3 linked regions of the Xenopus tropicalis genome follow. The protein of the gene in region 2 interacts with the protein of the main gene of each other region in a pairwise test. Links are inferred from orthologs where the notes say so. Each region holds a gene or a part of one and is shown on either strand. Other genes may lie near its edges.

Region 1 (6,119 bases), on a different chromosome or scaffold from region 2:
TGAATAATGGACCTGAGCATAGATTTGTGACCCAGTATACTATCTAGAGGCATAACTATAAGGGGAGACCCAGTGACCGCAAAGAGGGCTCAGCAAGGACTCCTGACCCCCCCCCACCCCCTGCTTCAGTACCCGTTACCAACTCCCAGCATGTCCCACATTATGCCACTAATACTAATAATGGATTGGAGAGTACAAGCTAAGCCATAACAATATCTAATTCATAAGTCAACAACCTTCGAAATCCCTTTGTGTGTCAAATAGAGATTTGGCGTTAGCGTGTAGTCTGAAATATCCTTCCCAACTGCAAAACTGGATAATTCTCTGGATCAGTCAGAACTGATATATCTCATAACCATAGCTATATCCCTTCTTATTAGAAAGGCATCCAAACCACTTACAACCTAATTACTGAACTGCCCATCATCAGTATGTTCCTTAGCACAGAATTCTGTAACTCTACTTGGTGTAAGGGCTTGTGCACATAGCCGTCAGATCCATGTTTAGGAATGCATTTCATCTGCTTCTTCAATGCAATAAAACTCATGCAATGCAAAAATATTGAGCAGTTACAGTTTTCTAGTGTTTGATGCATGTTCTAATTAAAGAGGAACTCTGCATACCCAATAAAAACGCGGAACCGGCGCACTTCAACATTTCCTGACTTCTACGCGGTCCACCAGAAATCCACAGGGGATTGACTGGTGGACTGCGATCAACGTTTTGGCCACCCCTGCTGTAATCTGTTCCTTTAAAAAGTATGTTTCAGATTGTAACAAGTTCTCTAAAGTTTACAGATAGCATGCAGGAACTACATACCCCACAATGCATTGCACTGCAATGTTCTATTCCTTATTGACAACCCGTGTGCACGGGATTGTGGGATTTGGAGGATGCAGGCTGAGAGCAGTCAGCTACTGTTACATTTTCTTTTAGACTTATAGTCAGCCAGACCAGCAGGAGAACAGGGGGCTAGGCTTAGGTAACTGTTCCAAACCATATTATTACATTAAAAATTATGAAAAGGCTGCATATTTTTAATTGTTGTAATTGTTAATTGCTATAATGTTGCTTGAAATTATGTTTACTTTTCAAAGAGCTTAATCTGTGCTTGGGTTGATTTCCCCTTTAATATCTGGGGAGTGAAAAACTGTAAAATGCCAAACTGCAAGTGTTTGTGTATATGCTGTGTGTGCATCAAGCAAAGCAATACAATAAATGACAAAAGCAGATGTTACCAGACCATTGGGCAAAATCTTTTAGGCTCCCTCCCACACTTTGGAAAAGATAATCTGTGCCATACACACATGCCGAGATTGCACATCTATTATTGATCGCAGCTATTATTTGCAGCTTATTTCTTCAACTAGAGGGCACTCTCTCCTCTGGCTCAATCAAACTGCTTAAAGGGGCAGTATACACCTGTGTTAAAAAATAAACCACAGGCACTTTATAGTTACAATATATACACAGGCCGAGGCAGTGCCAGTCAGTACAGTTATAGCAAGGAGCGTATGGGAGTCAATGCTCTTCGTGTGCTATTAGCCTTAAATGAAACACTGTTCATTTTATATTAATATGAGCCCAACAAGTGCTAACCCATATAGGATTCCTAAATATTTTTATGATACAGGTATAGGACCCCTTATCCAGAATGTGCGGGACCAAGGGTATTCCAGATAAGAGGTCTTTCTGTAATTTCAATCTCCATACCTTAAGTCTACTAAAAAAAAACAATAAAACATTAATTAAACCCAATAGGATTGTTTTGCATACAATAAGGATTATTTATATCTTTTATTACTACAGAGAAAAAGGAAATCAGTTTTAAAATTATTTGATTAAAATGGAGTCTATGGGAGACATGCTTTTTCGTAATTCAAAGCTTTCTGTATAATGGGTTTCCGGATAAGGGATCCCACACCTGTAGTATATTATCAATAAGTGCTTGAAAGACTTACCATACAATTGCAAATATATATAGATAGATAGATATATGTATATATATATGTGTGTGTGTGTGTGTGTATGTGCTAATTTAATGCACATGTGAGGACAGAAAAATATTCCATAGGGTGATTGCTGTTCCTCTCCCTTTTCCTTTTATTGAAGTTGGATAATCCCCCCCTCCTCCCCAGCCCCCTGCCCAATACAATATGATCAGGGCCAGACGGTGGGGTCTGGTTTCTAAAAGAAAACGTCCACCACATGCTTGGGACAGCCCCACTACAAAGGGCATTTGAAAAAGCCATTTGTCTGTCACTCCAATCATAACCTCCGACGCCTCTCACGCTGACAAGGGCTCCAGGTAAGTGAGCTGGAACATCATGCTTAGTATTAGGGAAAAGGCAAGGCACATATATATAGAACTGATTAACTGAATCACTCATCCCATATTTTTATTTAGCATGTCTTAGTCTGTCAATATAATTAGTTTTTCTGTGCAGAGAATTATTTTTGTATATTGTGATTTTTGCATTTCTCTTTCTGGCTACATTTGGTTTGAGCTCACTGTAACACTATGAACAAAAGGAGAATGTTCCAGAGCCTATATGTTCCTTTCAAGCCTTTTACTCCCCTAAAGAGCCAGCCTTTTTATTCCCAGCATACTGCATGATTATGCTTATATATGTACTATTCCTGCCAAGGAGAATACTCTTGGACATTGACAATTGACAACTGCAGTTTTAAAAAATAATTTAGCAGCTTTAGGGGTTTTTTTTGCCCAAACCCATCCCTACTGTCTCCCATTCACTGTTATATAAACCACCTTATAGCACTATTACTACTTCTTTCCGTTTTCCAATTTAAAGGGACACGCAACCCCTTTGTTTAACACTGGCTCAGTGAATAGAGATTGTGCTGAACATACCTGCTGGACTGCTGATCTGTTTGACTCTGCGGACCAGAAAGTAGAACGTGACTGGAGTGCTATTGATTAAAAAGCTAAATAATTAAAAAAAACACAAAATCTGAAAAATGAAGACCAATTGCAAACTGTCTCATTATGCCTCATACTAAAAGTTAAAAGGCTAACTACCTCTGTAATTGGGTTTGTTTTACATTAATTTTAGTCATTATTCTTCATCACTTACATTTCTCTTTATATTTTGTGGATTACTCCTCCTTACTTTACTTACTGTAATGTACTGTTGCCCTGCACTGGTAAAACTTGTGTGTTTGCTTTAGAAACCCTAATATAGTTTCTATAAATCAGCTGCTGTGTAACCATGGGGGCAGCTATTTTAGCTGAAAAAAAGGATAACACACAGGTTACATAGTAGATAACAGATAAACACTGTAACATACAATTGGAATCTACACAGCTTATTGGTTTTCTGCTATGTAACCTGTGCCTTTTCTCCTTTTAAAGGTTGAATAGCTGCCCCCATGGCTACACAGCAGTTTTGTTTATATTAAAGGAACAGTAACACCAAAAAATTCAAGTGTATAAAAGAAATTCCAATATAATGTGCTGCTGCCCTGCACTGGTACAACTGGTGTGTTTGCCTCAGAAACACTACTATGGTTTATATAAAGAATGCAGCTGTGTAGCCATGGGGGCAGCCATTCAAAGGAGAAAAGGCACAGGCACATAGCAGATAACAGATAAAACACTATTGTATTCTACAGAGCTTATCCGTTATCTGCTATGTAACCTGTGCCTCTTCTCCTTTTTTCCAGCTTGAATGGCTGCCCCCGGGGCTACACAGCAGCTCATTATATATAACCTATAGTAGAGTTACTGTAGCAAACACACAACTTTTACCAGTGTAAGCCAACAGTACATTATATTTAATTTACTTTAAAACTCTTTCATTTTTTGGTGTTACTGTTCCTTTAACTATAGTAGGATTTCTGTAGCAAATGCACAACTTTTACTAGTACAGGGAAACAGTACATAATATATGAATTACTTGCACAGCTGTTGTTTGGGAGTTGCTAATAGGAGGAACTGCCCTGGGCATTGCAGAGCATTAGTTAGATATAGGATGTTGGTGGGGTAACAGGGTAATACCGCAACAGTAGAGCCACATGGTGATAATAGAGCAAGATAGACACTGTATTTCAGTATTGCCAAACCTGCAACCCTTAAGTTGATGCAGAAGTACACATCTCACTGTTCAATGATGGCAAAGGTGATTCAGAGGGTTGTAGTTTAACAGCAACTGCTTTTGTATGAAGTCATTGTGTGAACTGATGCCATTTATTATAGGTACAGGTATGGGACCTATTATACAGAATGCTTGGGACCTGGGGTTTTCCGGATAAGGGGTCTTTCCGTAATTTGGATCGCCTACCTTAAGTCTGCCAAAAAAAATATTTAAACAGTAATTAAACCCAATAGGATTGTTTTGGCTCCAATAAGGATTAATTATATCTTAGTTGGGATCAAGTACAAGGTTCTGTTTTATTATTACAGAAAATTATTTTTAAAAAATTTGAATTATTTAATTTAAATGGAGTCTATGGGAGATGGCCTTTCCGTAATTCAGAACTCTCTGGATAATGGGCTTCTGGATAAGGAGTCAGATTCCTGGACTTGCATCTATACTTCTACTAGTGCGCTGTTCCCACCTCCTGTGCCAAATCACATGCAAGTGTGTGTATTGAGGCAGGGGATCCCTGGAGCTACAACCACCTCCAAGTTTCAGAGTTCCCACTGTGGGTAAAAATTAGAACTGCTATACCCTCACATTCATCTGTGCAAACTGAAAATAAACCTTACTTCTAAATCTGATATATTCTCCTTTCAATACTCACACAAATATGCACAGTGCGTCTCTGCCAGGACTGAGTTCACTGAAGCCCTTAAGCATCTTGCATTAATGATCTAGTTGCAACCATCTTTAATTGTGGAGGGGCCCAGGTTTTATATACAGTAATGTTGGATTGTCCAACTTTTGGCCCTTCAGCACAACTCACAGCACTGCTGACAGCCACAGCACTGATATAAAATGGTACGTGCTGATTCCATCTTGTTCCTGCTACGCACCAATCATGCCGTATACAGGTGCTATAAGGACCAGAGCAGTCGCCTCTATCTTTCCTTTCTCCTCTTAAAGCTATGGAACTACTCATTCCCTAAAATGTATTCCTCAATGGCTATCCTATCCAGACTCTGCTACATGCTATGTCCTGAATGTGGAAGTCATTATTCAGACTCATTATGAAAGTGAGTGGGCTGTACAGTATCCTGCCTAATAATGTGCCTGGAAAATACATCTGCAGAACTGTCAAGGGAATCCAAGTATGATGTTTAGTAGCTTAGTAAGCAAAGCCAAATCACCATATATTACAAAATTGCACTTGCAAGTACACTTTAATGCAACTGGCAAAAAAGCCAATGGGGGCATTTCTGGCCCTGCTTCCTGAGCAGGGTAATTAAAGGAAGGAAGTGCATGAAATAATTACAATACAATGTAGCATTGCCCTGTTTGTTTGGTTCAGAAACACTACTATAGTTTATATAAACAAAGTTGCCAAGTACCCATGGGGGTGGTTATTTAAATTGAAATGGGGCTAAACAGGTTACATAGCAGATAACAGATAAGCACTGTAAAACACCATTGTATTCTAAAGAGTATATCTGTTATCTGCTATGTAACCTGTGCCATTTGTACCTTTTTTCCAGTTTGAATGGCTGCCCCCATGGCTACACAGCAGCTTATTTATATCAACTATGGTATCCTTTCTGAATCAAACACACAACTTATTATTTATAATAATAAATAATAACAACTTATTATTTATTTTATTTTATATAATATATTTTTTGGTGTTACTGTTCCTTTAAGCACCCTGAAACAACTGAATGTAAAACTGCTGTACTCTTATGAGCACTTTTGCTCAGCGTTTCTTTGCTCAGTTCTAGCAGTCAGCTAATTGGTAGAACTAATAGAGAAATACAGAAGACGCTTACTGCTCAGTACTCTAATTTTCTGGCAGCAGATGGCACTGCTGTTTCAAATTTGTTGTATTACCATTGTACCATGGTAACAAAAACTGCTATTATTAGTTAAAAACAATAATGCAAATTGCATAAACTGCTCAGAAGAGCACTTAAGATGTATACACATATAAAACCTGCATTGTTCTACCTTAAGGCATGATCTTTA
Region 2 (4,324 bases):
ATCTCTATTCTTACAGACAGAACTGAATAGCTGCATATCGATGCTGGTAGCGGGTAATGATAGAATTCAGTGTATTCTTAGCCAGCTGGAAGAATCATGCAAAACTATACAGGTGAGAAATTTCAAGAACTTTACTTTACATGGAGACAGCAGTGCATGAATCCTGGAGTTTCCTACACATACAGATCAATCTATATAGCTGATACAAGTTAAATGAGCAATGTACAGTGGATGTGAATAGTATTTTTTACCCAGCCTATTGGATATCTGGCCAATACCCAACCAGTTATCAGTCAGGTAGGCCCCTTTTTCACCTCTTGTATTGGTTATTGGTTGCATTGTATGTATCTGTATGTTTAATTTATACACCCATTTTTGTACAGTTCTGCGGAATACATGTTAATAATAATAAGGGCTGTCTATCCAGAATACAGTTTAGTGTAGTATATGTTTGCTCCAAAGTAACATCAAAGGAAACCATAAATCCGACTTACTTGCCTAAGAGGTGTTTGAGGGTTGTTACTGATCACTTACAGAGATTAGTGAGTTTGACTGTTCTTTCTTTAATCATCCCATTTAGGAGAACAGTCAGAGTAAAAAGGAGTCTGTGAAAGAGATGTTTGAGACACTTTTCAGGAACCTGGAGGAGAAAAAGACTCATCTGGTACAGCGGATTTCACAAGCTGAGGAAGAGAAGTTGAACTTTGTGCGTTCTCTCATTGTACGGTATCAGGAACAGCTCCAGTCCTCATCCAATGTGCTACAGAATGCTTTTCAGGCTATGGAACAGCCTGGACCTGCTAACTTTCTTCTGGTAATTTACTGGGACTTCCAACATAAATGCCTCTACATGCATATTTATAAAGACGAGTAAAAAAAAAAAGTGGCATGTGAATACAAAGTCAAATTTTGTAACAGTGAACTATACCTTTAGCTTCATAGTGCACCATTTAAACTTCCGGATTAAAAGATGTATTAAATACAAAAAGCCAAGCAAAAACAGGCATAAAGGAACAGTAACATCATGGCTACACAGCAGCTAACTTATATAAACTATAGTAGTCTTTCTGAGGCAAACACACCAGTTGTAGCAATGCAGGGCAACTGTACATTATATTGTAATTACTTTTATACACTTTCATTTTTTGGTGTTACTGTTCCTTTAAGTGCCACTGCATTTTAAACAGATCTGGCTCTTTTTATGCCAAAAATTTTTGCTGTAAAGGCAACAAAAGAACCTTAGAAATACACGTTATATTTTGTATGACTTTTTTGGCATAAAATATATATTTTTTTAAATATTCTTTATTTTCAAACATATAATATGGGGGATACAGAAGGCAAGAGGGAAGGGGGGTCAAAAAACAAGGGCATAAAATATTTTACTCGTCTTTATAAATAGGCCTTCTATTGTATTTATTCAGGGAAGTTGTCAAGCAGATTAAGCCACAATGCAAACAGTGCCAGCCAATTGGGCAGAATACCCCCTGCATCCAACTTGCAAGAACAGTATATTGCGATGCTGCTCACAGAGTATTAAATGTACCTATGTACCTACCCAGAGTATGTGACACCACAGTTTTAAAAGGTTAATACAGCTTTCAACACAATCAGAGCATAATAGGTCAACACACCCCAAATATAGTGTAAATTAAATCCAGGAAATACAAATTGCCTGTGTCTTATAAATTTATCCTTTAAAAATCCATTTATAGCGGTCTAATTTAGTTTAAACATTTTCTATTTCTTATGTTGTACCTCTCTTATGCTGTGCTAAACCTTTTCTTTTCTGCTGTTTTCCTACAGGAGTCCAAACAGCTTATTAAAAAGTAAGTAACATTCCAGATCCAAAGCATGAAAATCATATGATTGTTACCTACTGCATGAACTGGTGATTCAGCCATATCGAGTTCATAATAAAACAATACCAGTGTGCCTTTTGCTCAGAGAAGCAACTAGTAAAAAAAAATGAAAACATTCAAAGGATCCAGCAGTAAGGAAGGGCTATAGAAAGAAACATGGGGAGGTGACATAAGAGGAAGTTGTAGAATGGCAATTAGTGCAAGGAGTCGTATCAGCAGGTAGCATTTATTTGTCAAATACATGTCTGATGCAAAAGCAAGCATTGCTTTTGATTTGTTGCTATGGGTCATTATACTTGGGCAAATTTTGCCCATTTTTATTTTATTATATTATGTTAGGGATATCTAAGAATGCAGCTGTTCAGAGTGCTGTTCAGCTTATTTAAATGTTAACTCTTGTATTTGCAGGCTAATGGAAGCATCCAAAGGCTGCCAATTGGAGAAGACTGATCATGGATTTGAAAATATGGACCAGTTCACCCTGGATATGGAACATGTCAGCCAGTGTCTGAGAAGCATTGACTTCACTCCAAGTGAGCTGAGAATCATGGTTGGAAAGGATCTTGTTTAATGCAGGATTTGGGGTGACAATAGCATTTGATAATAAGAATATAGTCATCATTGTTTAAAACAAATACAGTCTACAAAGGAATTTTCTTAAAGTAAATCAGTTACAAAAATTATTTCAAGTAATGTAAATTAAATAAAAAAGTAGGACAATTATTTGCTGCTTTCTGTCTTTTTCCAGCTTTCAAATGGGGTTCACTGAAAAAAAGTAAAAAAGAAAAAAAACTATTGCTCTGCGAGGCTGCATTTTTTTTTTGTTATTTCTATCACTATCCATTACATAACTTTCTATTCAGACCCTCACCTATATCTTTATCTTGAAGTCTTAATTTAAGCCACTGCCTGGTTGCTAGGGAAATGGGACAAAAGCAAGCAGATGAAAAATGAAGACCAATTGCAAATTGTCTCAGACAATTGTCACTCATCAAAATATCTGTTCAATCATAGTTAAAGTTTATGTAAAGTTGAACTACCATTACATGCTTTTTATCGAAACCAAAAATAAAGGCACAAAAAAGCAACAGTAAATAAAACACTCACCAAGTAGTAGTAGTATAAATTAAAAAAAATCAAATACTGAAAAAAAATAAAGACAGACTGATTTTGTCATTGGGTTTATTTAACATATCTAGTCAAAAGGTAGATATTTGTCACCATGGAACAAATGTAAAATACACTCTTTCTTTGGTCAGTGATTTTGAGAACCTGTTAGAGGAAACCCATAACTGCATCAAAATAGACTAATGAGAATGCTGTATCAGCCATTTGGGAAGTACTGTACCGCTAAATGTTATTTTTTACAGACTGTGATGAAGATGAGGAAGATGATATAGAGGAATATGAAGAAACTGAAGAAGAAACACTTGAAGGTAAGAACATTTGTCATAGACAAATTTACACATATGTCTCTATAACAAAGGTCATGGTTTATATTGCATCTGCATGAGTCTCATGGTGGTATCCTGCAACTATTATTACAGAGGCACTAATTGCATTAATATTTTAGTTCCCCCTATTTACCAAGGCTTGGTTGCAACCATTATATTAAAAAATCCTGCTCCCCATGAACATTTCATTTTAGCATTTACTATCCAGCCACAAACTATATTTTTAATCCTGAAGTAGCTTTGGCATGACACAGAGATCAAATCATATGGGGGAACATTCATTAAAGTACGAATCTGAATCACGAAATCCAATCATTTCTGATGATTGCAAAAGTTATGAAGATTCAGTTCGTTTGAATACTAAGCTTTCGTAATTACGATCCGAAAGTTCAGAAATTTCCGTATTGAAGCAATCGTTTACAATTGGCGATCCAAAAGTCACAAAATTATCACATCCGAACGATCGTAAATGGCGGAAAAACCTTTCTGACTTCAGTGCATGATTCTGGCAGCTTCCCATAGGACTCAATGGCACTCTGCAGCTCCAACCTGGCCCAAGGAAAGTCACAATACCACAGCTTCAATGAATCCGAAACTTTCATACTTGGTGCGACAAATACGATTTTGTCGCACAAATCGTTGCGCAAATTGTCGGAAAGTACGAAAAAGTTGCGCAGATTAACAAAAATATTGTAGAAAATATGCAAAAGTTGTAAACTTTAGAATTTTTTGTAATCGGACCTGTCGTACTTTAATGAATGTGTTGTTACCCATTAGTATTCTAACATCTATCTTGCTTCAGTGGTATGACATGGAATTCTTATTTACCAAAATACTCCAGGTTTCAAAATTCAACCAGGTTGAAAATTTTCACCTGTGAACTAACCCATACAGGATAATGATATATTTCCTTTTCATTATTCAAAATGTACAAGACCAATCAAAGCTATATGCTAATTGGTTGCTATGCTATTAGTGCGCAAATGCATTGTTTATACGTGAGACTAC
Region 3 (6,006 bases), on a different chromosome or scaffold from region 2:
CTGGAATATATATGTATATCTGTAAATATTGGCCTTTTACTTATTTTACCTTGAGCCACCATAAATAATGCAGCTCTAACTGTAACAGGAAGAAGTGTGGGCGTAAAAGACAGAACTTTGTCCATTAATTGGTTGATGTGAACTAACATGTATGTGTGCCCTTGGTTTGTGTGCACCATGAATTGTATGATCCCAAGGGGACAGCCCTTAGTAGCTAAAATGGCAATTTTCTATTTAGGAGTACATAGTAATAAATATTACTAAACAGTATATTTTCATGAAAATGGTTTATTTAAATTATATCTCATAGTAAGCATTATTTTGTAAATTTGTTAATAGTACATGCAACCATAAGGTTCATGTTGCACTGGAACTGACATACTATGGCATAGGCTCAAAAGAGTTATAAGCAGCTGTAACTAACAACTTCCTCCGAGCTGTTGTGAGAGGCTGTCACAAACATGCTGCCTAAGAAAAGAACATGGTAGCAAGTTACTTATTGGTTAAAGTAGTCATATTACACTGACTGATGGGCCTTAACCCAAACAAACAGAACAGTAGCAAGGTAGTATGCAAAAAAGAAATTGCCACTCTTTCTTATGCATCAAATAGAGTTAATGGGCTCACACTGTTCCACTATCTGTCATTGTGTCACCCCTTGGTAATTGGTCACAAAAAAAGAAAGCAGAGCCAAACAGTGCTTTGACAAAGGGCACAGGTCCCAAAACAGGCGGTTTAGTTTTATCCAAATAAAGTGTTGCAGTTAAAGGAACAGTAACTCCAAAAAATGAAAGAGCTTTAAAGTAATACAAATATAATGCACTGTTGCCCTGCACTGGTAAAACTGGTGTGTTTGCTACAGTAACACTACTATAATTTATATAATAAGCTGCTGTGTAGCCATGGGGGCAGCCATTCAAGCTGGAAAAAAGGAGAAAAGGCACAGGTTACATTGCAGATAACAGATAAGTTCTGTAGAATACAATAGTGTTTTATCTGTTATCTGCTATGTGCCTGTGCCTTTTCTCCTTTGAATGGCTACATAGTAGTTTATTTATATAAATTATAGTAGACTTTCTGAAGTAAACACACAACTTTTACCAGTGCAGGGCGGCAGCACATTACATTTTAGTTAAGTTTATACACTTTCATTTTTTGGTGTTACTGTTCCTTTAAATAGCACTGCTTTGTTGAGACTGACAATCAGCAGGTAGCATTTAGAGGCTAGGCTGTTTTAAAACAAACAGATCATCTAGTTTACTAAACCAGAGAAAACTCTTTGTATCTGCTTTCTGCATCAGTCACTGTATCCGAACGATCAGCTATTGATCTCCTTTGATCAGCAGGATGTTCTGTTGGGTGCACCCTGGACGGTGTGTGCAGATAGTCAGGCAGTAAGATTGAACTATAAACATTACCAAACTTTGATAGTCACAGAATGGTACGTTGGGTATCATCTAGGTACAATACATGCTCAGATGGTCAGGGACTAATGTCGAATTGGCCAAATTACCTGATTGATTCTTGGCACATATGATCACCTTAGCACTCATCTGTAAAGAAAAGCATGCATTTTCATCAGTGCAGTAACACTAGTAATATCCTGGAATCACCCAGTGCAGAATGGCAACTCAGTTTTCAGTGTAACACTGATCAGAATGGTGAATCTTCCAAACCTTATCTGTCTGTACATCTGTCCCCCTGCTTAGCAGCCAGGCTTTTAGATTTTTCATACTCTATCACTGTCTCTGCCTGACTGAGATGGGTAAATTGAAATTCCTAGTTCCCCCTCTCTCTCTGCTTCACCGTGTCACCCAGTGTATGATAGGATCCAAAATTCCCTCTGTCTGTACTACTACTGAACTGACCCACCCACTCTCTAATTATAACCCATAGTGAGAAAGCTGAGCTCTTGTGCTCCAGATAAAGGCATCAAGTCAGATATAATAGGAACCAATGAGAAGGCGTTGATGTCTTGACATCACAGTGACACATTTCACACCTTCAAAGAGCTGGCCAATTGAAAGCAACTTAGGGTTATATAAGATAGAATTTGGATGAGCTAGTTGGGTCACCCTGAAGTTTGCTCCGTCTCTAAAGCAGGTAATACATTTTACCCTTCTACTGTTAGGGGGAAAGCCTTGTTGTGTGTGAACTTGTTCTTTGCCAAAATAGACCTGCAAATTCTCAAACAAAAGACAACCAGAGCCAGTTTTAGGGTTTGGGAGAGAGGGCATTTGCCCCCTAGATTTGGTAGATGCAACATCAACTGGTTGGTTGCAGGATATAAATTCTTAATTTACATATATTGGGGCTCCAACCAACTACAATGCACAGGACTTCCACATCTATAACTTTTACTTAGAATGGTAAATTTATAGCGTCATCTCATTAATATCTTCATAGAATGTAAATCTTCCTTTAGCAAAATATACTTGCAAAGCATAAGTTTATAAACCACACATGCAACTTTTTTCGTACAAAAGTAATATCCTTCTAGCTAGAAAGTATTGTGTGGAAACCAAACTGTAGGTTTCTGCAGAACTCTGGGCAGACCAAGTGCCTAGAAAGTGTACAAAGAAGGACACTTGCAGACCATATAATTGTGTCCCTATGTGAAGGCTGCAGTGCATTAAACCTTTCCCTGTATATGATACTTGATCGATGCAATTATATCAGGGAGACCCCTGCAGTAACATTTACATGTTCTTTTTGTAGACTAAAATGATTGTAAATTTTGCATGTATTTGCTGATAAATAAGTACAAAACAGCTGTTACCATTTTCATTAATGTTTACAGTAGGTTTCTCAACTATTCCTTAGCACCCACCAGAAGTGAGCTTACCACTGTTATATCTACCTTTTACTGACCCTTCATATGTGACGACCTGTGCATTAGTGATGGCATCCTTAGTGCATGAAGCAAGGAAAGGACGTAGAGCCTTAATATTTATAAATAGTTACAATAATACAGATCTTATGAGGATTTAACTCATTTGAGCATTTAACACAGATCTTGGACAGATCTTGGAATTCTTCAACCCTTTTTGTATGGTAGACTTTTAGAGCCTTTCATTATTTGCTTGTAAGGTATACTTTCTTGTAAGGCAGATCTGTAGAGTCTTAACCAGCAAACTTGTGGAGCATTTACATTTTTGCCCTCAAGTCAGTCCACTAGAGCAATGCTCCTCCTAAGTTGTACACATAAAATATGACAACACCACACACTATCAATGTGGCGCATATAGAAAATGTTGTATGTACAAATATAATTTAGTAACTGTTACGACAATCTGTTGTGCAGTGCCAGAATGGTTAGTCTTTCAGATCCTGTCTATCTGAACTACTGCATGTTGTGACTCGGTATGCTCCAGTGTGTACAGTCCCCATAGAGAAGCATGGGTTCATTTAACTCTTACATCCCCGTGTGGTGGATGGCAAAAATCAATGCATGGAATCAAAGTTGTAAATGTTCAAATGCAAGAGCCCTTATTCTTTCCCATTTATTGGGACCTATAACTTTAACTCAGAAGCTCCAAAATTAATAGCCTGAACAGTGATTTTGGTGAAATGCGGTTTTGGATGCCTTGTTAACTATGTAATAAGGTAATTATGCCTGCTTAATTATTAGACCTAAAAAGTCTGAATAACTCACAGCTAAACAGAGCTACAGAACTTAAATCCTTTTTCTGTTAAATAAACCTAAAGAGACTTAAACCATTCCTTGTAAAAAAAAAAAAATACCTGCAAGAATGGCTGCAAAGCTCCTAAATCTTTCTTTCCAAAACAACTGGTTTCCTGATGAATTTTCAGATGCTTTCACTTAGGACCTTGTGAAAGACCTACTCTCTTTAACCCTATCTCAGTAAGACTGTCCCCCAGTAGGCAGCTTTCCCTACAACTGATCATCTGTCAGTGAATTCAAAAATCTCTTTCTAGTATAGGAATATCTGTTTACTGGGGACAGTTGATTTATGGGTCATTCAACCCTTCAGTATTGGTAAGCCCTACCATGATAGACAGATACTTAAAGTGATTGCATGTTTGTTTGTCTGTCTGTCTATCTTGCTTTGGCTTTGGCAAGGATAAGTATCGTGCACCATCCTTTACTCTTTCAGTACTCTTTTCAGAACTTTAAACCTCTCCCCACCCCCTTTCTTTCCTCTCATGTTTCACAGCACAGCCACCTGTTAGCTTTGGCTATGTGTACAGAAATGGCATGATCTATATTTATCCAGAACGTGCTGTCCCAGCACTGCCAAACTGCCACTCGCTGCTACTGAACAGGCACATTCAAGAACACAGCCCAATAAAGTGTCACATAGTATCTTACTGGTCATGCACAAACTCACCTCTACACCTACCATATCATATGCTTTTGTCAAATCGCCAACTCAACATGCTTTGCCATTTGTTGCATAAGATCGCACGTCTCATACCAAGCAATTATGGGACTGTGGTGAACAGGAGCCAGAGAACATCTAGAATTGCTGGATGTAGGGGTACATATTGGTTTGGGAAGGTTCATGAATATAAGGCTCAGATCAGAGAAGTGGAATAAATAAGACATCTCTATATAGAGAAGACTGCCCTTCTCATCTTTTGACATGTGAATCTTTAATATCTAGATAACTAAATGATACTCTGTCCAACATCCTAATACCATTAGGACTGTATCTAGGACACTTTATAAAGGATTAACTCATCCAAGCCATTTCACATTTGACAAGCTGAAGTGTTGCTTCTCATCTGGGATTTCTCAAATTAAAAACCAAAAAACTACTAGATTTGTACCAAATATTTTGTCTACTGATGATCAACACATGCTGAATAATCCTTTCTAATGAATGTTTTTTTTTTCTCTTTTAAATGTCCCTTAAACTGCAGGTCTAGCCCGATCTTCCAACATGCCTTTCGGTAACACCCATAATAACTGGAAATTGAATTATTCCTCTGAGGAGGAATATCCTGACCTCACCAAGCACAACAATCATATGGCCAAGGCCCTGTCTGCTGACATCTACAAGAAGCTCAGGGACAAGCAGACACCAAGTGGCTTCACCTTGGATGATGTCATTCAGACTGGAGTTGACAACCCAGGTAAGAAATCTATAATTCTTGAAAAGTCCAGGGTTTTGGAACATTGTGGCTCTATAATTCCACTATGCTTTTTGTAGATTGGCTGGACAGATGTGTCTGGAATAGCCCCCTTTTCTCATAATATGGTACAACATTTACAGAAATAACGATAGGCACATCAATGCAGCAGGGGATAGGGTTCCATAAGTATAAAGGGCTTATGGGGATTGCAAATGATACATTTTTACAATGGGGGGGCTGAACTATCAGATATATGGTTAGGGAATCTAGTAATATGTCTTATAGCTTTGTTTTAGTTTGAAGTGGCACAGAGAGGAAAGATGTACCTCCCTTTCATTTTGGGCCTGCATTTGGGGAAGACACAGAGACCTTTAAGGAAACACCAAATCCTCAGGTCACATTGCACCTCAGGAAGTAGGGTTCAACTAAATTGTATACTGCAGACATTTCAGAAATAATAATAAATGTGGAAATGCTGTGTGACCCTTCCTCCCTAGTTCTGTGCACCCACCTATGATAATGTTTTTCTGTAGAATACTTCAAGATTTGCCTGTGTTAAGAAGTAAAACACTATAAAATGTCTATTATCTCTGCTTCTACTTGACTACCATCAGAAGGAACCTTTATCTTTTTCTGTAAAAAAATGAAAAATGAAATCACAAGTTCGTTCTATAAATGAGTTACCCTGCTGTTCATAGGCCATCCTTTCATCATGACTGTGGGCTGCGTAGCAGGGGATGAGGAATCCTATGAGGTGTTCAAGGACCTTTTTGATCCCATTATTGAGGATCGTCACGGTGGTTACAAGCCAACTGACAAACACAAGACAGACCTCAACTTTGCCAACCTTAAGGTATTCTGGTTATTAAATTAACATAAAGGGCAGTAAGTGCAGTTTAAGATATA

The links.
Region 1: the proteins of trim63 (region 2) and tnnt1 interact in a two-hybrid assay, tested with the Homo sapiens proteins (2 studies listed by BioGRID and IntAct). The link is inferred for Xenopus tropicalis from reciprocal best matches to the Homo sapiens genes TRIM63 and TNNT1.
Region 3: the proteins of trim63 (region 2) and ckm interact in a two-hybrid assay, tested with the Homo sapiens proteins (2 studies listed by BioGRID). The link is inferred for Xenopus tropicalis from reciprocal best matches to the Homo sapiens genes TRIM63 and CKM.

What each region holds. Positions count from the first base shown.
Region 1 is NC_030683.2:104,578,017-104,584,135, forward strand, and holds the start of tnnt1 (troponin T, slow skeletal muscle), read left to right. Parts: upstream 1-2,197; 5' UTR 2,198-2,308; intron 2,309-6,119. UniProt on the Homo sapiens protein: Troponin T is the tropomyosin-binding subunit of troponin, the thin filament regulatory complex which confers calcium-sensitivity to striated muscle actomyosin ATPase activity.
Region 2 is NC_030678.2:76,881,585-76,885,908, reverse strand, and holds part of trim63 (E3 ubiquitin-protein ligase TRIM63), read left to right. Parts: intron 1-16; coding exon 17-112; intron 113-580; coding exon 581-814; intron 815-1,806; coding exon 1,807-1,829; intron 1,830-2,270; coding exon 2,271-2,395; intron 2,396-3,232; coding exon 3,233-3,298; intron 3,299-4,324. UniProt on the Homo sapiens protein: E3 ubiquitin ligase. Mediates the ubiquitination and subsequent proteasomal degradation of CKM, GMEB1 and HIBADH.
Region 3 is NC_030684.2:70,816,196-70,822,201, forward strand, and holds the start of ckm (creatine kinase M-type), read left to right. Parts: upstream 1-2,084; 5' UTR 2,085-2,103; intron 2,104-4,887; 5' UTR 4,888-4,907; coding exon 4,908-5,100; intron 5,101-5,798; coding exon 5,799-5,953; intron 5,954-6,006. UniProt on the Homo sapiens protein: Reversibly catalyzes the transfer of phosphate between ATP and various phosphogens (e.g. creatine phosphate).